Linked DNA regions of Mus musculus. The protein of the gene in region 1 interacts with the protein of each later gene in a pairwise test. Links are inferred from orthologs where the notes say so. Each region holds a gene or a part of one and is shown in the gene's direction. Other genes may lie near its edges. The genes, in order: Retreg3, Map1lc3a, Gabarapl1, Abhd16a and Stap1.

Evidence for each region.
Region 2: the proteins of Retreg3 (region 1) and Map1lc3a interact in binary tests that used the Homo sapiens proteins (3 or more experiments, as listed by UniProt). The link is inferred for Mus musculus from reciprocal best matches to the Homo sapiens genes RETREG3 and MAP1LC3A.
Region 3: the proteins of Retreg3 (region 1) and Gabarapl1 interact in binary tests that used the Homo sapiens proteins (3 or more experiments, as listed by UniProt). The link is inferred for Mus musculus from reciprocal best matches to the Homo sapiens genes RETREG3 and GABARAPL1.
Region 4: the proteins of Retreg3 (region 1) and Abhd16a interact in binary tests that used the Homo sapiens proteins (3 or more experiments, as listed by UniProt). The link is inferred for Mus musculus from reciprocal best matches to the Homo sapiens genes RETREG3 and ABHD16A.
Region 5: the proteins of Retreg3 (region 1) and Stap1 interact in binary tests that used the Homo sapiens proteins (3 or more experiments, as listed by UniProt). The two-hybrid records come from large-scale screens. The link is inferred for Mus musculus from reciprocal best matches to the Homo sapiens genes RETREG3 and STAP1.

What each region holds. Positions count from the first base shown.
Region 1 is NC_000077.6:101,117,039-101,121,029, reverse strand, and holds the start of Retreg3 (reticulophagy regulator 3), read left to right. Parts: upstream 1-1,188; 5' UTR 1,189-1,250; coding exon 1,251-1,489; intron 1,490-3,729; exon of another isoform or gene 3,730-3,844; intron 3,845-3,991. Other genes in the region: Tubg1 (tubulin gamma-1 chain), read right to left, coding at 32-199, 371-483, 788-836. UniProt on the Homo sapiens protein: Endoplasmic reticulum (ER)-anchored autophagy regulator which exists in an inactive state under basal conditions but is activated following cellular stress.
Region 2 is NC_000068.7:155,274,873-155,278,573, forward strand, and holds Map1lc3a (microtubule-associated proteins 1A/1B light chain 3A), read left to right. Parts: upstream 1-1,491; 5' UTR 1,492-1,734; coding exon 1,735-1,774; intron 1,775-2,085; coding exon 2,086-2,141; intron 2,142-2,225; coding exon 2,226-2,332; intron 2,333-2,602; coding exon 2,603-2,765; 3' UTR 2,766-3,201; downstream 3,202-3,701. Other genes in the region: Pigu (phosphatidylinositol glycan anchor biosynthesis class U protein precursor), read right to left, coding at 3,664-3,701. UniProt on the Homo sapiens protein: Ubiquitin-like modifier involved in formation of autophagosomal vacuoles (autophagosomes). While LC3s are involved in elongation of the phagophore membrane, the GABARAP/GATE-16 subfamily is essential for a later stage in autophagosome maturation.
Region 3 is NC_000072.6:129,532,033-129,535,993, forward strand, and holds the start of Gabarapl1 (gamma-aminobutyric acid receptor-associated protein-like 1), read left to right. Parts: upstream 1-1,159; 5' UTR 1,160-1,414; coding exon 1,415-1,504; intron 1,505-3,961. UniProt on the Homo sapiens protein: Ubiquitin-like modifier that increases cell-surface expression of kappa-type opioid receptor through facilitating anterograde intracellular trafficking of the receptor. Involved in formation of autophagosomal vacuoles.
Region 4 is NC_000083.6:35,087,910-35,092,095, forward strand, and holds the start of Abhd16a (phosphatidylserine lipase ABHD16A), read left to right. Parts: upstream 1-1,381; 5' UTR 1,382-1,415; coding exon 1,416-1,547; intron 1,548-2,459; coding exon 2,460-2,516; intron 2,517-3,112; coding exon 3,113-3,179; intron 3,180-3,661; coding exon 3,662-3,748; intron 3,749-3,909; exon of another isoform or gene 3,910-4,073; coding exon of another isoform or gene 4,074-4,098; intron 4,099-4,186. UniProt on the Homo sapiens protein: Phosphatidylserine (PS) lipase that mediates the hydrolysis of phosphatidylserine to generate lysophosphatidylserine (LPS). LPS constitutes a class of signaling lipids that regulates immunological and neurological processes.
Region 5 is NC_000071.6:86,070,274-86,074,555, forward strand, and holds the start of Stap1 (signal-transducing adaptor protein 1), read left to right. Parts: upstream 1-1,472; 5' UTR 1,473-1,564; coding exon 1,565-1,684; intron 1,685-4,282. UniProt on the Homo sapiens protein: In BCR signaling, appears to function as a docking protein acting downstream of TEC and participates in a positive feedback loop by increasing the activity of TEC.

The sequences.
Region 1 (3,991 bases):
TTGAGAGCCCTTCAGGGGAACAGCAAATGACCTGGGAGAATCCGCTGGCCCAGTTGTTGCCAGCTCCTCCGCCATGCTCCGACAGGTAGATGTTCTCTGGGTTGTAGAGCTTAGCATAGGAGGAGTTTAGGATGGAATGGATCACCCGGGGCTCCAGGTCCAGCAGCACAGCCCGGGGGATGTAGTGCTCATCATCTGCCTGTCAGAGGGAAGCCAGGATGGGTCAAGTCCTGAAGCCTCCCAACTCTGGCTCCTGCAGGCTCTCCCTCAAGATAGCCACTCTGTTCCCATCCATCCACTCAGAGTTTCCCAGCACCAGATCGCGCTGCCAGTCCCGCCAGGGTCCTGGTCAAGTCACTTGGGGGAGCACCTGGTAGAAAAAGACGTCCTTTCGGTCAGTGCCCTCCGTGGCGAACTCTTCTACGATGCCCTCGGGACTGATGCCATGCTCGGCACATAGCTGTTTCCAGAACTCGAACCCAACTAAGAGAGGGAGGCGGAAGGTGAAGAAAAAAGATACGTGAGTCTGGGTAGGTTCCAAATAGCCAGTGGGGGATTTGAACGCCTGGGTCTAGGGATCTAGATTAGCCTTGGGACTCCCTAGTGTCTAGGCCAATGACTGGACAGGGGAAGGTCCATTGGCTTTAGGCAGTTGGGCACAGGGTTGGGAATCGCCTTTGTGGGGGAGAACTAGGATTCTGCAGACAGACCGAAGCTATGACCTTATTGCGAGGGCCTCTTGCACCTAAGGAACCTGGGAGGCAGAGGGTCTGGGAGGTTCGCTCACTCTGATTGCCGCACTGGCCCAACTGTAGGGTGATGATTTCTCTCGGCATCGCTCCTCAGACATCGGCGTTGCAGTCTCTCCCGCCAGCAACACCGCCGACCGCTAGCGCGCTCGCCGGCAAGACGCAGGCGCCAGACAATGCGCTCCACCCCTAATCGTTCTCCGCTCCAATGGGAGCTGGGTTCTGCAGATGAAATTTCCTCCTTCATCGGGCTTCAGTCGTGCGAGTTGCGCGTGCGCGGCTCCGAATCGCGCTCAGCGCCGGGAACGCATTTCGACGCAGTGTTCTCTTCCGTCTGATGAATGCGCACCGGAGCGTCTGCGCATGCGCGCGTGGGCGTTCCGGCACTTGCCCCGCCCCGCCCCTTCTCCGCCCGGCCGCAGCCAAATCGTGCTTCTGCGCAGTCGGTGTTATTGTGACTCCCGGGCCGTGGCCCCGGATGTTGTGGCTGCTGAAGGGGAGATGGAGGAGGCTGAAGGGGTGGCCGCGGCCCCGGGTCCAGCTTCGGGGTTGGCTTTCAGGGGCCGCCGAGCTATGTCCGGCTCCTGGGAGCGCGACCAGCAGGTTGAGGCGGCGCAGCGGACCCTGGTGGAGGTGCTGGGCCCTTACGAGCCTCTGCTGAGCCGGGTGCAGGCAGCCCTGGTGTGGGAGCGGCCGGCCAGGAGCGCCCTGTGGTGCCTGGGGCTGAACGCGGCGTTCTGGTGAGACACCCGGACCCTCACTGACCCTACTAGGCGGGAATTCCTCAGGTTGTTCTGGGGGGGGGGGTGTCGATCTCTCACCTGCCCTGTCCTGCCTTCTTTCGTCGCCCTGGCTGCTTCTGATACTTGCCTGATAATGCTTCACTTTCCCCAGCATCCCGCCTGCCTCCAGGCTTTGGCACCCCGGGTGCTCGCAGGGCCTTCCTGGTCTTCTCCACTTGCCCCCACGACTCGCCAGAGAATCTGGTACCATCCCGTGTCGCTCGCAGTAAGCCGGGGTGCCTCTTGTTAGCGAGAGAAAGTGATTTCACTTCGAGACCATTTCCTCCGTTTCTCTTGCTTGCCCCAGGGTGGTGGTTCCGAGAGGTTTTAACTTAACGATGATGGGAGGAGAGGCAGAAGGGTATCCCTGGGTGTGAGGAGGAAAACAAGCTTGAGCCGGTTATCATGGATTATTAGCATGTTAGATACCGTCTCACCCAGTCAAGTTGGTGAAGTTTGTGTGGAGTTTCAGCTTGAAAGAAAAGTAGATGTATTAAGAAGGAAAAAATTAAAAAACAGTGGTGATCTTTCATCTGTTTCAGAGCCACTTAGGATTGCAACGCTTCCCCCCAAAAATTAGACCTTAGCTGTGGTTCAAGGAGTTTGAGGCTGTCTGAGAGCCGTTGAGTTCTCTTTCACTGGACAAGTGGCTTTATATTAAAGTGTGTGTTTCATTCTCTGGAAAAAATGAGAGCACCTAGGAGGAGTTTGGGCTTCATCGAGTCTACCAACCATGGTTTGGGTTTATTAATAACCATAGTACTGATCAAATTCCAAGGGAACTGACATATCACTGAGGCTTCTACAACCAGAAGAGATGAGACTCTTTGAATAAGCCTGTGTGTGTGTATGTGTATAGGGGTGTGGTCCTGAGATGGGGTGGTCGTGAGGAGTTGTGGGTACTTGTAGAGGCTAGAAGCATCAGATCCCCCTGGAGCTGGAGATAGGTGGGGGTTGCTGGGAACTGAACTTCTCTGGGAGAGCAGTATGTGCTCTTAGCCACCGAACCATCTCTCTAGCTCTGGAACACATTTCAAAGCTGCAACAGATTTGCTGGTCCTCAACAGTGTATTCTTTTTTGGCTCCAAATATCCTCTCCACAGAGCAGGCCTTGAACTTCTGACCTTCCTGCTCCCAGCTCCCGAGGATTGGGGCTATTGACACTGGCCACCATGCTGTACCATAGTGTTTACTTAGGCTAAGTCTGCGTTTAGAATCTTTCTCAGAACCCCTCTTGTGCTAAGTTGTGACTGATCCCTATCTCTGGCATTTCCGGGTAGTATGCCTGCTGTGTAGCCACAATGCAGGAGGTGGGGGAGAGATCCACCAAAGTGAGTGTGGCCTAAGACTTAAAAAACAATTGAGCTTGTCATTTATAGAGGGGACTCATACCTTGGGAGGGGTACAGATAGTATTAAAGTCCAAGCGGGTTAAAGTAGTCAGACATTGGCACTTATAGAATTGTTTTGGGAGAATGAATTTCTTTGAGGGCTAAACACAGTTCACTCCTCAGTAGTGTCTTTGTGAGTGTTGTCATTTCACTTAGTAGAGTAAAGAATGACTAGATTTTCAACGAATTGAAGAAGTATCACTAAGTTAGGTCAGAAACAACAAATCTGAAGTACTTCTTATATTATTTATTAGGAATAATGACGTTATCAAAAGCTGAGGTGCTTTTGATGAGTCAGAAGATTAGCTTGATACTACAAAGTTGTCACCTGAGTGCTGGAGTCCACCTTAGCGTAGTAGAGCCTACCTCCAAACCTGATGCCCTGATCCAGCTTCTGTAAGCTGTCACCTGACTTACACACACACACACACTCCCCCCCCCTCTGTCTCTCTCTCTCTCTCTCTCTCTCTCTCTCTCTGAAAGAATTTTTTTTTTCCCAAGTCCTCCAAATTCAGGGCACATAGTGTGTTTAGTGATGTACATTCCTTCTCTGGTGTAGTTTTCCCTGTACCTGTGACTATGCCCTCTTACTTTCTAAACACAGGAGGTTCATAAAAGAATTCCATGTGGTAGGGTGCCACCATGTATTTCCAGGGTGTCCCCTCCCAGGTACCAGAGAAATCAGGGTGACCCTGTCCAAAATCTTGTAACCCACATCGCTTCTAGCCCCTGCTCTGTTGCTGTCTTTAGAATAATAATGGCTTCCCTCTAAAAGCCGACTTTTTCATTAATCTCACCCCATCTGCAGATGAGTGACCCACAGGGAGACCATGAAAGTCGGCAGGAGGGCATCATGGCAGGACCAGAAAAGGACAGGTTCCAGGAACTTCGATTGGACTGATAGGAGATGGGGGAGCACGAGGGTAAAGCCCCGCTGGCCCTAACTTGATGAACAGCACAGAGCTCACAGGGGGCTATAGACTGGAGCTCCTTGTCCCTGTGATTCCAGGTGGCCTTTGGGGACATGAGCGTAACTCGCAGCTGATGCCCTGTTACCTCTTGGGAACTGT
Region 2 (3,701 bases), on another chromosome or scaffold:
AAGGCACTAAATAGGACTTAAGGTCATAATTTAGGGAAGTAATCCTACCGCCCCACCCTAATTTGGGGCTGCCACATACCAGGCATTGAGCTGCCTGGAGAAGGTAGAGATGGGATATAAGGCCTGGTTGAATCCCTTTGTAGGTGGAGCCTCTAGGATCTAACATATTCCGAAAATTGAACCCACATCCTCATGCTTGCGGGCAAGCACCCTACCTGACCAAGCAGACAATAATATCTTTCCAAACAAATCCAGCTCCCTAAGACATTTAAAAAGCAAAACAAAACCCAAAACACAAGGTCTCACTATCTAGACCAGGCTGGCCTTGAACTCAAGAGACCATCCCGTCTCTGCCCACAGAGCTGGGGTTAAGGAGGCACCGCCACCCAGCCTCTTTAAGGCAATCTCAGCTGAATTCTTGTTACCTTAGCAGCTTGTTTTTGTACCAATCACTACCATTTCTGTCCATAAGCAGTTGTTTAGAATTACTCAAGCGTGCATCTGTTAACTTGGTTCCCATCAAATTTCTTCCCTTTGAGCTGTATGTTTCTGAAGTACAAACTAACTTTTTTTTTCAAACAATGGTCCTTTGTAAATTCTTTTGTTTTATCTTTTTTCTTCCTTACTTCAACTCTAGCCCATCCTCCTGCCTCAAACTCCCATAGAGCTAGGACTACAAATGAGAGCCAGCTACATCTGGCATTGATTCTGGCTTTCAATCGATTTTTAAAGTTCTTCAAGGGGCCGCCTCTCCGTGTCCGTCCAGTCCCTCTATCCCCTCCACCTCCCGCAAAACCTGAGATACTGAACTTAAGCCTTCCATCTGCTAGGCAAGTATCCTACCCTGACCCTCGGTAACATTCCCAGACCATACTTCTTTCTATCCTACCAAGGGGCTCTACCTGTAAAATCTGACTTCGCGTGTTGTCAGTTCCGAATGTTCTCCATCTCATGGTTAACCACTTCTGATATAGCCCCCCCATTCAGCGATTCTCTCCTGCTTTATCTAAACCACCTATTAACCAACCTCACTCTGGAAATCTATGCTTTCTATGGTTGTTCCAGAATTCTTTGAAAGCCTGGGTGGGGGGTCTGGAGCAATGGTTCGACAATTAAGAGCCCTTGCTATTATTTCAGAGGACCTAAGCTTGATTCCCAGCAGTGCGATTAACTCCAGCCTAAGGAAATCCGATGCTATGTTCTGCATCCGCGGGCATACACTTACAGACACATTAAAAATTTTAAAACTCTGGGTGTTCCATCCTCTCCCCGCTCCACCTTCCTTCTCGAATGCTAAACTCGATGAAGGTGCGGTGAACTACTCCGCAGCGTCGAGAGACTGGATGGAGGCGACAAATGCCTGGCTTCTGAGTCTGTGGCGCCAAAGAGAGGAGCTTGCCATCGTGACGTCACAGAACTGTGACGCGCCCTGGAGCTCCGCCTCCTTACGACCTGCGCCGGGAATCCGGGCTGTCTGCGCCGTGGCGTCACAGGTCCAGGCAGGCGGGTTTTCCGTCGGCCCAATGGGAGCGGCGCGCCGGCCTCCCCTTTAAGGAATGTTGTGACCTGACGTCACCCAGGCGAGTTACCTCCCGCAGCCGCCACCGCCAGGCTCAGCGCGAGCCCCGCAGCCCTTGAGCTCGAGCCCCGGAGCCCCCGGCGCGCCGAACCGCAGACGCATCTCTGAGCCGCGCACCCCGGAGCCCCGGCTGCGCGCCCCGCCGGGCCCGCGCGATGCCCTCCGACCGGCCTTTCAAGCAGCGGCGCAGCTTCGGTGAGGCCCTGGGGGGCGAACTGCCATCGGGGATCGAGGGATGGGGGTGCCAGTCGACCCCGATTGCCGCAGGTGACGTCAGCCCCATGACGTCAGGCACCGGCCGGCCGGACCCCGGGTGGAGAGGCCGCAAGGCCTGGCAGGGTCGCCCGCCTCCCTACCGCGTCCCCCCGGTGGAGGGCTGCGGGGCCGACGGCCCCGGGGGCGGGCGCTGGGGCGGGGCGGGCCGGGAGCCGCCCCTCGGGGATCAGCGAGGCGGAGTCGCGGGAGGCCTCAGCACCGCTGGGCCTCACACAGAGCTCTGTCCGCAGCCGACCGCTGTAAGGAGGTGCAGCAGATCCGCGACCAGCACCCCAGTAAGATCCCGGTGAGTCTCTAGCACCCCCCAGCCACGCCCTGCCCTGCCAGGTCCCGCCCTTGGCTTACGAGTCCCCCGCCCACTCCACTCCAGGTGATCATCGAGCGCTACAAGGGTGAGAAGCAGCTGCCTGTCCTGGATAAGACCAAGTTTCTGGTCCCAGACCATGTTAACATGAGCGAGTTGGTCAAGATCATCCGGTGCGTGGGCAGCCTCCTACAGGCCTTGGGTGGGGCAGGGTCAGGTTCCACAAGAAGGGATGGAGTGGGGCGAGGGGACTGATTTGGGACACCGGGCCCCTGTTCTAGGAGGCTGGAAAAGACCAAGGTCGGGGTTGGGACGAGCTTCAGTAGAGGTGAGAGCCTCTGGCTGAGATGGACCGAAAGTGAAGGTTCAGTAACATTTTGGGAGGGTCACCTAGGCCTCCAGCAGGCAGCCTCCTCACCTGGCATGCCTGCCTGCCTCCACAGGCGCCGCCTGCAACTCAACCCCACGCAGGCCTTCTTCCTGCTGGTCAACCAGCACAGCATGGTGAGCGTCTCCACACCCATCGCTGACATCTATGAACAGGAGAAGGATGAAGACGGATTCCTCTACATGGTCTACGCCTCCCAAGAAACCTTCGGCTTCTGAGTCAAGAGGAGGGGAGGGGGGTGGCTGGGAGTTCTGGTCAGGTTCTCCCCAGGGAGGTCCTGGCTCCTAAACTAAGCTATTTCAGTCCCCAGTGGATTAGGCAGAGATGTGACACCCACTCCCCCCCCCAGGTAGGGGCCACCAGCCAGCCTACCACATCCTGGGTAGGTCCTGGGCCAGTCATGTTCGGGTTGCTCTTTTGGGTGCTGGCTGGGTTGGGAGTGGGTGGGGAGCAGCATCCCTGCTCTGTGGGGTTTGTCATTTTGTTAGGCCCTTGCCTGTCTGCCCATCTTGCCCCTCATCCACCTGAGGCTTTGCCTCCTGCCAGGACCTGCCCCACCCCTGAAAGGCTGGCTCCCCTTGTCCTGACTCGGTGTATGGATCTGTGGTCATTTCCTCTGCAGAAAGAATAAAGACTGCTCAGGCCTGCCTGGCCCTTTGCCTCCAGCTGCTTGTTTGGGAGCAGGGAGGGCTGCTAGGTGACTGTGTTCACACACAGAGACAGACGCGTGTTCCCAGAAACCCACTCCTTAGTACAGGATAGCACGTAGTATTAGGGGGCCAAGCTCACTCCACTCCAGGAATACATGTCATCAGAACAACAATGAAAAAAAAAAGATCCACACATTTATTAAGTAGTCACAACCTATAAAGCCCTGCTCACCGGCTGCTTCCTTTCTGTGCACAGTCACAAAGTGGGGGTCCAAGTGGGGTGCTCCTAGCTTCTCCCCATGGGCCTTGTTGCCAGCTATGAGTCCCCTTTGGTGCCAGAGATTTGTGACCCTGGACTTGAACTTCTTCTGCCTGAGGACGCGCCTGCTGGCAACTCTGGATGAGGGACCTGGCCCAGCTTCTGGCCCTTCCCCCTCTTGTCCATGCAGCGCTGTGCCAGCCAGGGCTACTTGAGCACAAGCATGGCCTCAGTGCCGTCCTTGG
Region 3 (3,961 bases), on another chromosome or scaffold:
TGTAAGAAAGATTACCAGGAGAAAACCAAGAAGTGGGCTATGTATTTCATGTTCTTGTTTTGCCAGTTAAATTCAGTTCACTTTATTTTGCCCATATTTTATAACCATATCACTAAGTCATGTACATAAAATCAGGCAACAGGGCTGCTTGCCTGGTACCACTTAGTAGTCATTTTATTTTCACAGCACAAAGCATCCTTGAACTTTATCTCCGATGTTCCCAAGATATAGGTCTGGAGTTACTGCCAGTAGAATCAGAAGGGTGACCCCGCATCCAAAGAGTCTTAAGATGGAAACCCGGTATGTCAGAGGGGCCTGGGCTGACTCTCTCTATACTATTGAGGGTCTTCCACCAGCATGCCAGTCAGAGCTTTTGGTGCCCAATAAGGCCTTTTCATCAGGACAACTACCCTACAGGTGATACCCACCCCAGAGCAAAGTATTGTTGGGGAAACATAGACACCTAAATGATTTGACCTCTGTATTTTCAAGAACTCAACAACCATGCTTCTGGGTGAACCTTATAAAATGAATGGATTCATCTCTCCTTGAACGTGAGTGAAGCCTGGTGTTCATCGCTGGCATCGCTTCTTCTAACCTTGATGACTTCATGTTCTTCACCCTTACACTTCTTCAAATCCATGAGTCATGCTCTGTTTATGTTGTCTCAGAACCAATTCTAGCACAGATCCAAACATAAGGACACCAGTCAGAAGGAGGAGTTGGGGCAGAGAAGGCAGGCCAGTCGTGGGTGCCAGGCAAAGGTCAAAATGCAAGCACAGGACATTTCAGCCCGGGCTACAAATCTCGTGACGCCTGGCACTTTTCCAACTCCAGACTCCTGATTCCATTGCTCTGGAAACAGCTGGATTTTCTTCCTCTGTGTTTGTTTTGGGCATCAAACAAGAAACTTGAAGGGGAGGGAAGACGACATTTGTTAGAGCATTCTTTGAATTAACAAATTACCTTTAATATCAATCCTCAAAAATAAAAACCCGACTACATGATTTTTGCGTTTCGATGGAGTGGTTTAGGAAAAGCTTGGGTGAAAAGAAGATACACAAATAAACAAAGCTTCTGTCCACCCGGATCCAGCAGGTCCTTAGCGCCGGGGGCGGAGCGGGGGTGGGGCGTCGTGATGTCACAGCACCGCCCTGGTGTTTTTGTGTTTCCAGCTCTTGGGAAAAGCCACCCTATTTCTTTACCTGGTGGTCCTTTACCTTCAGGCCGCGAGATCTCCAGGTCCTTCTCTGGACGTTTAGCCACGTAGTGCGGCGACTGGCGCGTGGGAGCTGACGCGGGTGGAGCGATTGTGATAAGGCTGACATTGACTGGGGGTGGCCAGACGCGAGACGCAGTCATCAGCGCGCGCAGCAGGCCCCGTCCGGGGAGCCCCTACATCCTGAGGTCCATCATGAAGTTCCAGTATAAGGAGGACCACCCCTTCGAGTATCGGAAAAAGGAAGGTGAAAAGATTAGGAAGAAATACCCGGACCGGGTGCCGGTGAGTGGGGGCGGGGAGGGAGAAGGCAAGCTTGAGGAGTTTGGGAGCTGGTTGCCCTGGAGCTACCGAGGTAGCCTGGCGATGGCGGGTGGCCCTGGCACAGGAGGGTCATCGGAATCAAGTATTCTTGACCGGCTTTGACAAGCTTGTATCCCCAGGGCCTGTAGCCACTTTTGGCATCTCGAAAGCGCAGCGTGCGCGTGGTGGGTGAGTCAGCAGGATTCAGCACCCATGGAGGTTGGGATGTGCGCGTGGCGAGGCCTGTGTGTGCGGGGGCGACTGGTTGGGGGCCGCAGATAGGATATGCTATAGAAAAACGCGTCCCAACCCTGTAGCAGCAGGTGAGATGAGCCTTGTGCCCATCCATGTCTGCTCAATTGGTTCTCCATGAAAACGAGTCTCCTTCCCATTTCCTTGAGCGTAGGAGGAAAAACTCGAGAAGCCCCTAGATTCTGACCTGCGTTTTTTTTTTTTTTTTTTTTTTAGAATTGGGGGTGGGGTGGGGTGAGGGGCTTCACCAGGCGGGCCCTCAAACAAGGTCATGCCTGCCTCCACCTCATTATTGTCTCCTGGGCCATGTGTGGAAAAAGAAGGTCCGTGCTCTGCACTGTGATAGGTGGGTGGGCTCTTGGATCTCAAGAACCAGTACTGAGAACCGTTTCCTCCATTAATTATACCCCGATTTAAGCAGCTAATACCTAGTTCATGCAGTGGGGAGAAAAATACTAAGGGAGTCTTCAGCATCCGGGTGTTTTCCACTTTACCCCCTCCCCCGCCCACTTGCCTTTTTTTTTTTCCTCCTCTTTTGAAGGCTGCGCAGCAGAATTGGAAGCAAAGGATGACATCGCTTTTAAATATGGTGGATAGAGGACCAGGGACTTTAAAAAATCGTTCTCTTTATTTGTACAGGCAATGATGTTATATTAGGTTGGCGTTCCTCTAACTTTGAAGGGTAAAAGAGCTGTGCTAACCTGATAATTTTTTTTTTTGATGCATAAGTAATAGGGGGGAGGGACTTCTTCCTTATTCTTTATCTCAGCCAGGGCTACCAGAAGAAACGGAGGTCCAGCAAGAGAAAGCCCTCAGCCCCATTTTCTACCCTCAGCCCCATTTTCTACCCTCAGCCCCATTTTCTATGAGGAAGAAGAGAGCTAACTATTCCACCATTCTCCAGAAATTACATATACATGGCTCTTCCAGAACGGCTGGGCACACTCCAGTCATGCCTTCCTACTACACAGTCCTTCACATGTTATTTCCTTGAGCTCAGGACTGTGGAGGATTGCTTTCAAAATTTCTCTCAGTTTGTCAGCCCCACTTAATATTTTAAAATTACACATGGACCACACAGCTGGCAGCACTCTGAATGCCTTGTCTGTGTACTCACCGACTCTCGTCACAGCATTAAAATCCCTGTGCTAGAGACATGCTCTGAAGCACAGGGCAGTGAAGTCACCACCCACAGGTTTGACATTGCTGACTGGTGGAGGAGAATTCCAGCCCTGGCTGTCATGCTTCAGGGCTTCCAGAGCCCTTGGGCTTCCAGAGTTTTGTTTTTGTTTTTGTTTTCCAGTTTGTAGTACAGTTAGATGAACGCCTTGTAAGGTTGAGCCCTAGAAGTAGGTTAACACCTGCTGCCATCTGGAGTTCAGGTGGTAGTTGGTGCCAGCCAGGAAACTTAAGTGAACACCTACCCCCATTATTCAGAACTTTAACAGAAATCCGAGCTGTGACCTGCAACTGTTTCCAAATTCAGCTAAAACCTCCGTCCTTCCTCAAGACAGAGCCCCCTCGCATTCAGTTGTGTACAGCACTCACCCACAATATTGCAGTTTCTCTGTATTCTCCTGTTTGTGACTTGATGCTGAATGTTTTACTTCAGTGATGATTTGTAAGCCAAGACACCTTCGCTTAGATCTCATGGATCCCTGGATTTCACACCCAGATGGTACCTCCCAATCTGAGAGGTTCTCAACCTCTCATCTGGTTGTGACATAGAACCCTGCTGAGATTTGTGTGGGGGTGGGAGTGGGGGCAACACTAAAATTGGAACCCTTTGCCTGGTGTCTTCTCCATGACTGGATTATAACAGGAGTTCTCCTGCCTTGGTCACAGGGCCGAATCTTCCTATGTTCAGGTATTTACAGGAAAGCCGCTAAGTTTCTAAGGCAGTCTGACTCACAACTTAAGCTTGGCCTCTTAAGAGGTGTGCGTGGGCCTTGGGAGAAGGGATCATGGGATCTTGAGATAACCGTGTGTTGGAGACCTGTAACAGCAGGAACTGTAGGACATACTATTTTTAAACATTTGTAAACATCCCTATGGTGTATGAGCCACTGCGACAGATGCAGAAAACAAGTCCCCTCTCCTTTTGGTTGGAGTTCCAGGACTCAAGAGTTCCTGTGGTGAATACCAGGGCTCCCTGTTTCCTGTGCTCTGTTTGTAACCTGCCTCTTT
Region 4 (4,186 bases), on another chromosome or scaffold:
GTAGTGATGCATGCCTTTACTCCTAGCACTTTAAGATTTATTTCTACATATATAAGTACTCCATCTGCTTGTATATCTGCATGCCAGAAGAGGGGATCAGATCGTAAGCCACCATGTGGTTGCTGAGAATTGTATGTAGGACATCTCGAAAAGCAGCCAGAGCCCTTTACCACCAATCCTAGCACTTTGAACAAGGTTTCTCTATATAGCCCTGAGTGGCCTGGAACTCACTACATACGTAGACTAGGGTGGCCTGGAACTCAAGAGGCCAATCTGTCAACACACCCATCTCTCTCTGTCTCTCAAGTGCTGGGATTAAAAGCATGTGGCACTACATCGGGCAGATTACTTCTTTCAAAAACTTAAAAAAAAAAAAAAAAGATTCTTGGGTTAGAGAGATGGCTCAGTGGTTAAGAGCACTGACTGCTCTTCCAGAGATCCTAAGTTCAAGTCCCAGCAGCAACCACATGGTGGCTCACAACCATCTGTAATGAGATCAGACGCCCTCTTCTGGTGTGTCTGAAAACAGCTACAGTGTATTCATATACATAAAATAAAAAAAAATTTAAATAGAATTCTTCAGAAGAATCCTGCTATTTCTTCTAATGGATACATCCCTAGATCTGTGTGTGTGTGTGTGTGTGTGTGTGTGTGTGTAACCCAGGGCTTTCAGCATGTTAAGCAAAGTTTTCTATACTTGAGCTACAAATCCAGACACTAGCCTCTTTTCTTGAAGTTCTTGTCAAATGCTCCTACTCTCACCCAGTGATCGTTCCAGAACATGCTGACATTAAGGGATAGGGTTTAAAAAAAAAAAAAAAGTGAAGCCAGGCGTGGTAGTGCACGCCTTTAATCCCAGCACTGGGGAGGCAGAGGCAGGTAGATTTCTGAGTTCGAGGCCAGCCTGGTCTACAGAGTGAGTTCCAGGACAGCCAGGGCTACACAGAGAAACCCTGTCTCGAAAAACCAAAAAAAAAATGTGGGGGCTGGAGAAATGCTCAGCGGTTAAGAGCATTGACTGCGCTTCCGAAGATCATGAGTTCAAATCCCAGCAACCACATGGTGGTTCACAACCATCTGTAATGAGATCTGATGCCCTCTTCTGGTGTGTCTCTAGACAGTAACAGTGTACTCACATAATAAATAAAGAAATCTTTAAAAAAAAAAAAGTAACCACCTGGGGCATTCATTTTCTTAAGTTTCTCTATTCAGAACAGCTCTAACTAACTGTAGACCGTCGCCCACTGCGCTGAACACTCCTCTCGTGGCGAGAACGTCAGGCTGGACCCTGCCACGGGGCGAGCGGATACGTGCTGACGTCACGCACGCACACAGGCACGCACGCAGCGCCCAGGAGACTACGGGCGGGGCCGGCGGGGACCTGAGGCCGAGGGACAGCGGCCCGAGCCGGGGCTATGGCGAAGCTCCTGAGCTGCGTCCTCGGCCCCCGGCTCTACAAGATCTACCGGGAGAGGGACACGGACCGGGCCGCGTCCAGCGTCCCCGAGACTCCCACTGCCGTCCCCGCCGCCTCGTCCAGCTCCTGGGTGAGTCGGGTTCCCCCCGGCGGAGAGCATGGTATGGTCCAGACCGCGCTGCGCTGCGCTCGCCCGGCGCGCCCACTGTGGGAAACGGGGGAGCCCGCTTGTCAAGTGGCGGTCGCGCACGCAGTCCGCCTGCGGGCGCTTCCCGGCCCCCTCCCAGTCACGCAGGGCCCAGCCGCCGCCTCTCTTTACGGCTTTGGAGGAACTCTTCCTCACACCCACCACCACGCTTGCTTTTTTTTTTCCCCCTCCGCGTCCCCCGAATGGCTGGTCCCAGTTGAGTTTGGAGTCCCCTGCGCGCACTGGCTTTTGCCCACCTACTCCCAATTTCTCCCAGGATCTGTTGACTTTCTCTTTAACCTGACTTTTCAGTTTCAAAAATGACTTCATGTCATGTATTTACTTGTGCGCCTTGTGCCCCCAAACCTAGCCTGAAAACCAGGGTCTTGCATTCAGGGTGGTAGTTTGCTCTCCAAAATGTTTTTGTTTTTATTGGTTGCAAATTATGTTTAGGAGGCTTTCCGAAGTGCCCACACTTAGCGACATTTTTCCCGGAATCGACTTACATCAAATGCTATTCCTTCCCTCTTAGAATTGTCATGGAGTCTCTCATTTTCAATTTTACTCCTCTCCCCATAGTGACACAATCATATCTGTATGGAGTTTCAGGGGAAAAAAAGGACCGGTTTTCCAAATGCTGCTTTCACTTTTGCTTCCAAGCCTAGCACCCCGTGATTGCTTTCAGGGTGAGGGGTGAAATGTCAGGGGGGGGGAGTTGAAGCTTCAGCAGAAACAGGAGTATCCCAGGAGAAATGGCCACAGAGGCTAGAACCAGGTGACACAGGTTAGGGCTTCTGGAAGGGAGGAAGGGCCTGTCAGCTGGCAAGGTCCTTAACAGGCCATCTGTTTTGGCAGGATACGTATTATCAGCCTCGGGCCCTGGAGAAACATGCAGACAGCATCCTGGCACTGGTAAGTCAGTCCCAGCATCTGCCAGTCAAACCCAGCCCTGGAGAAGGCAACACCCCAGGAGGTGAGGGGTGCTCTGGGCCCTGTACAGCAGAGCTTGCACAGAGGACCAGCGTATCCCAAGTGCCTACCGTTGGCATTCTCCCTTAGGAAGTCCCCTTTGTGTACCATAAGCTTTTTCCAGAGCAGTTTGAGCCCTAAGGATAACAAATTTACCTTTGGGATCGGCTGCAGGTCTCTGAGTCTTGCAGTCCCTAGTGACCTATCCTCCCTGGCAACTAACTTCTGTGGCTGCAGAGACAGCTGTTCTCCCTGGCAGAGTTCCTATGGTGATGTTCTCACATCTCTTGGGGACAAAACCTGGGACTCTCTTGAGTGGGGCCAACTGGGAAGGCTTGATTAACTTGAGTAGACAGAGAGGCTGGTGTTTTCAACGCCATGAATCTGTGTCAGTCTCCGTTACTGTACTCTGACACACTATGAGGCAACAAATATTTGGGTCCCTACTGTGTGCACGGTGTCAGAGCCAGGCCCGGAGAGGGCAGAACAGCGTGTGTGTGCACAGGCGTATTGATCGCCTGTCTGTGTCTCTGCTGCAGGCTTCAGTCTTCTGGTCCATCTCTTATTACTCCTCTCCCTTCGCCTTCTTCTACTTATACAGGAAAGGTCAGTGTGGTTCCAAAGGTGGTGGTGGGGCGTGTGTGGGTGGGGACAAACCGGGCAGGTCATTGGCCAGTGAATCTACTCCCCGAAGAGAAAGGGGGTGATCCTGTGAGAACGGCATATTTGACTTCCCTCTTCTACCAGGAGTCTTGCCCTATAAGCTGGTGGTTCTCAACCTTCCCAGTGCTGCGACCCTTTAACACAGTTCCACATGTCGTGGTGACACCCCCCCCCCCCCCGCAAAACCATAACATCATGTCGTTGCTACTGGATAACTGTGATTTTGCTACTGTTATGGTTCATGATATAAATATTTTTTGGAGATACAGGTTTGCCAAAGGGTTCCCAATGCACAGGTTGAGAATTGCTGGTCTGATAGAATGGCTAACCCAAAGACAGAGTGTGGGTAGAGGTTGTGGGCAAGCTGGGAGAACCACTCAGAGGTCCTGTGAGAGCGTCTCATAACTGTCCCTCTTCCCTCCCAGGTTACTTGAGTTTGTCCAAAGTGGTGCCATTTTCTCACTATGCCGGGACATTGCTGCTGCTACTTGCAGGGGTGGCCTGCCTCCGAGGTAGGTAGAGAGGAGCCTGGTTTGTATCTGTGACTGGATAAGCGTTAAGCACTTTTTGCAGACGTAGTTTGGGGCTGGGCCCTGTAGGGAGTAACTGAGGACAGTCCAAGGTGTAGCTCTTCCTCAAGTGTCTTACATCCTACATTGCATGTGTTCATCAGCAGTGTACAGGAACAAGAAGAATACAGCACACACCGCCTGAGTCTCAGCTGGAGACAGCAGCAGACTTTAACATGCACAGAGACCTCACACAGTGTAACCACACTGTGGGCCCTGCACCGGAGTACAGATCAGAGGTGCACTGTTAGTGGAAGACATTCGAGCAATGTGTCCTCTATCCCAGCGCTTGGGTAAGAGGGAGGTAGAAAGTCTCACGTTCCAGGCCAACCTGGGCCACATAGTGGGACTCTGTCTCAATCAGTGAATAAGTGTGTAAGT
Region 5 (4,282 bases), on another chromosome or scaffold:
ATAAATCAGTAAATAGTAAGGGCCAGAAATTTGGAAGTACCGGATGAGGACATTTCTATTCCTACTTTCTGGCTTAATCAGTATAATAAGTCAATAAAGTAATTCTTCCCAATAACAGATTTCACCAGGCTCTTGAAGGAGAAGTAAGAATTCACCAAGTAGATAACAAAAAGAAGGGTGTGGGAGCACACAGGAGGAGCTGTCAGAAGGAGGGCCAAGGGCTTTGAGACGTCGAGGAGCAAGTGTAAGGCCTAGAGCAGAAGGTACTTGCTGGGGAAGGGGCTTGGTTTCTTGCCAGTGCAATAAATAGTGTTCAATAAAAAATGAAAGGAAGAACCGCAGAATCTGTGAGGATCGATCAGACTGACCAAGAATGAAATTTTGAAATCTATAAGGTTTGGGGGAGATGACTGAAGAAGAAATATTTGATTCTTGGTACATTGAGGATTAATGTTATTTACAAATCAACAGTCCAAAAGAGTCTACCTGGTTTGATGAACTAGATTTAATTTAATTAATTTATTTATTTGTGCATTTACTTATTTATTTATTGCTTACTTTTTAAAATGGTAAAAAGACAAAATTAAGCAGATGTTTAATTAACATAAATATTTCTCTCTGGGCTCAGGACACTAAGGGACATACTACCAAATTCGTTGCTTGAGCCCCCACATATTAGAAGAGAACCGATTGCTACAAATTGTCCTCTAAGTTCCACATGTGCACTGTAACATGTGCACACTTGAACCTACCTGAATATTAGCACACACAAACACACACACACACATGCACAGCCCTACACACACACACACACAAAGTAAATGTCAAAACATCAAAAATATTCTTTTCTGTATTTTTCTGTAAGTCATCTTTCTCTTCTAAAGCTCTCTGGCAACAGCTAGGTATGATGACATAAATCTTTAAGCCCAACACTTTGGAGGCAGAAGCAAGTAGACCTCTGTGAGTCTGAGACCAGCCTGGTCTACACAGTAGAATTTCAGGCTATCCACGGCTACAAAAATGAGACCATATTTTCAATAAAAAAAAAAAAAAAACACTATTGGATATATAGCCAATAGGATCAATACAAAAATATTCAATGAAGAATTTTTTTAATGGATACAGTTTATTTAAGTCACATATCTTCGAAATAAAGGCAGAGAACAATCAACAAAAATGAAAGCTGGAAAAGCTAAGTGTGTCGTTGGTGTTGCTCCAAAAGTCTCGCACCTGCTCCTTTCATCATTAGGAGATGGTAATCTGCTGTTTATTTTGTTACCATCAACCTAAGCACATGAAGTTTACACAGCAGACGCCTTTTAAAAGTTGGTCTGTGCCTGATCTTTTTTACTTCACAATAACTGAAGGAGGGAAAGTGTGTGTGTGTGTGTGTGTGTGTGTGTGTGTGTGTGTGTGTGTGTGCTGTTGGTGGAAGGGTTGGTGGTTAAAAAGCGAGTTGAGACTTCCTCTTTGAACAGTTGCCTCTCCTCTCAACACTACGGAGATTTCGGTTTTTTTGAGGCTGGATAGAACTGAAAGCAAGCCAAACTCCAAAGCAAAGGCTATGATGGCGAAAAAGCCCCCGAAACCTGCCCCTCGCAGGATCTTCCAGGAAAGACTGAAGATCACTGCTCTGCCCCTGTACTTTGAAGGATTTTTACTGGTCAAACGGTCTGATCACCAGGTAAGTGTGTAGACAATAATTGTAACCCTGAACATTGGCACTTATCATAAAACTTATGTCATGGCAACACGATGCGATGAAGCCTCCTCGTTTCTGTTTGGGTTATACTGTCTTCCTTGAGTTAGAAGAATGATTCTCACTTTGAATTAATGCACAGCTTTACACACACACACACACACACACACACACACACATATGTATTGTAAGGTTTCTAATATTTAGCCATAATCTAAAAATGCAGTGAAATTTCCAAAAGAGTCTTTTAAGCATCCCAGAAGATTTTGGCTTTAAAGATGAGAGTTTTATATGTTTTATAAGCATAGCTGACTGCTATGCTTCGGTGGTGAGGAACCGCATGATGTTGAGGGGATTTAATGAGAGATAACAACCTACTTCTACTCTGGTTACAATGAGCCTTATAATGACCACGTTGTAAGAAATGATAAACTTCCATAAGATTGTGAAAATTTGATATTGACTTAATATTGTTTCATTACACAATCTGAAAATACTGTTCACAATGCTTATTTTAAAAGAATATTTAAGGTGTTATTGTAACTAGTGAACACATTAGGGTTTTTTTTTTTCAAAAGTACATTTGCTCTAAGAAAACTCATGAAGTATTTCACATACTTTTTATGTAAAATCTTAAACTACAGTTATAAAAGTGTATTTGCCTTTAAAGTTGTAATTGTGGACAACATAAAATTGATTAAGGAAGTACGAAATTATGAAATTATGTTACTAAAGAAGTAAAGAAGCCACTAGTGTAGGTATGGCATTTTCATATTGACTGAAGTTAGCAAGGTTTTAAATGTTTTCAGAAGTAGCAGTGGGTGTTCAATGAAAATGATAAGGCAAGGTTCAGAGGAGTCGATAACAGTCATGGAAAAGTTCTAAATGTGAAAATACTCTACTTGTAAGCTCATTTGCCATTTGAAAGTCAGATTGTGACTCTTGCCGTGGCTGTTAAATTTGCAAATTTAAAATAGTAAATTGGCAAACTATATTCAAATGTTGTTGTTGTTGCTGCTGCTGTTATTGAGTCTTCACAGGTCTACAAGGTTTTTACTTCACCAGAAGTGTGCAACACCTAGAAGTAAATTTCTAGGTGGTAATTTAGATTTGGTCTTTCTCTGATTCTCTTCCCAAAGTGTTTATAGTAACTGGGTCTATTACCAAGATCCTTCAGCTGTTTAAAGAAGCCATGTGGTGGCACGCTTAGCAGGAGAAAAAAAAATCCCATGTGGTGGCACGCTTAGCAGGAAAAAAAAAAAATCCACAATTTTAGAATACCAGTAAACCATGTCTTCACTTGATAGTTCTTCTACATACAACTCATGACCTTAGGAAAATTCTTCCACCCCCTGAACTCAGTTTATTCAACTGTTAAAAAAAAAAAGTAGCCAAAGGATACTACTTGCTGTGATGTAATATATTATTATTTATGTTGTACTCTTCATTATGTCTGGGATAAGCAAATGCAGTGCTGAATCAAGTTGTGTTTCAAGCAACATTGATCTTACACGTTGCACTCAACAAACGTTAAAAGAGGCTTAGCTCGGTGGGAGTTATGACTTTGCTCTTTTTATCTAACTCCTCTTCTGGTTTTGCTTAGAAAGCATGTTTTAAAATAGGATGAATTATGAGGATTAGGGATATATAGCTAAAGGTAACACATTCTCGAAGAGGCATTAGGTCCTGAGTTCAGCCCGACCGAGGTAATGTAAATAATGGTGAAACGCGTGTATATGAGAAAGCCAGTTTCTTTTCCCATTTGAATTTATTTCCAAGTTTCTTTCTCTCATGTGTCAATCAAAGAGGAACCAGAGGGTGACAATGACAACATAAAGGGTGGCTGGAAAGATGAAAACCGTAACTACAGGCTTCATTCGCACTTCAGAGTCATTTTCTTCTGGTTTACATAGATGTTTGCTAGTGTCCTAAAGTCAGGTTGAGGTCTACAAGTAAAATTGCTCAAAGGAACACCACAGGGCTCAAAGATTTAAATAGAGAAGCAATGAGAAAAACGCTAAGGGAAATAAGTGGAGTTTCTATACAATTGGCAGCCAATTCCAGGGTGCATTGAGAGCAAGGTGAGCTGCGAGAGCTATCACCAAGGATCTGTTGTGCGATGGGATACAGGAGGATAGGAGGCTAGGCAGGATGCTGAGCTCCTGCTGAAAAGAATTCAGAAGACTGAGCTGGAGAAAATGTGGCTCAAGGACAATATGCTCAGAGATTACAGGTCAAGAGGCTCTTGTTACAAGGCTTTTTGTTTTGGGGGTTTGTTTGTTTGTTTGTTTGTTTGTTTTTCAAGATCATTGTTTTAAAAGATTTATTTATTTATCTTATGTATATGAGTACACTGTCTCAGTGTACTGTCATATGGCTGTCTTCAGACACAACAGAAGAAGGCATCAGATCCCATTACAGATGGTTGTGAGTCACCAAATGAACTCAGGACCTCTGGAAGAGCCATCTCTGCAGCCCTTTCCAGGTCATTTAAAAAGAAGTTACAATGTTCCAATGCCAGGGAAATACACAATATATGATGATTTTAATGCACTTCTAGAAGGACTCTGAATTTCAGGCCAA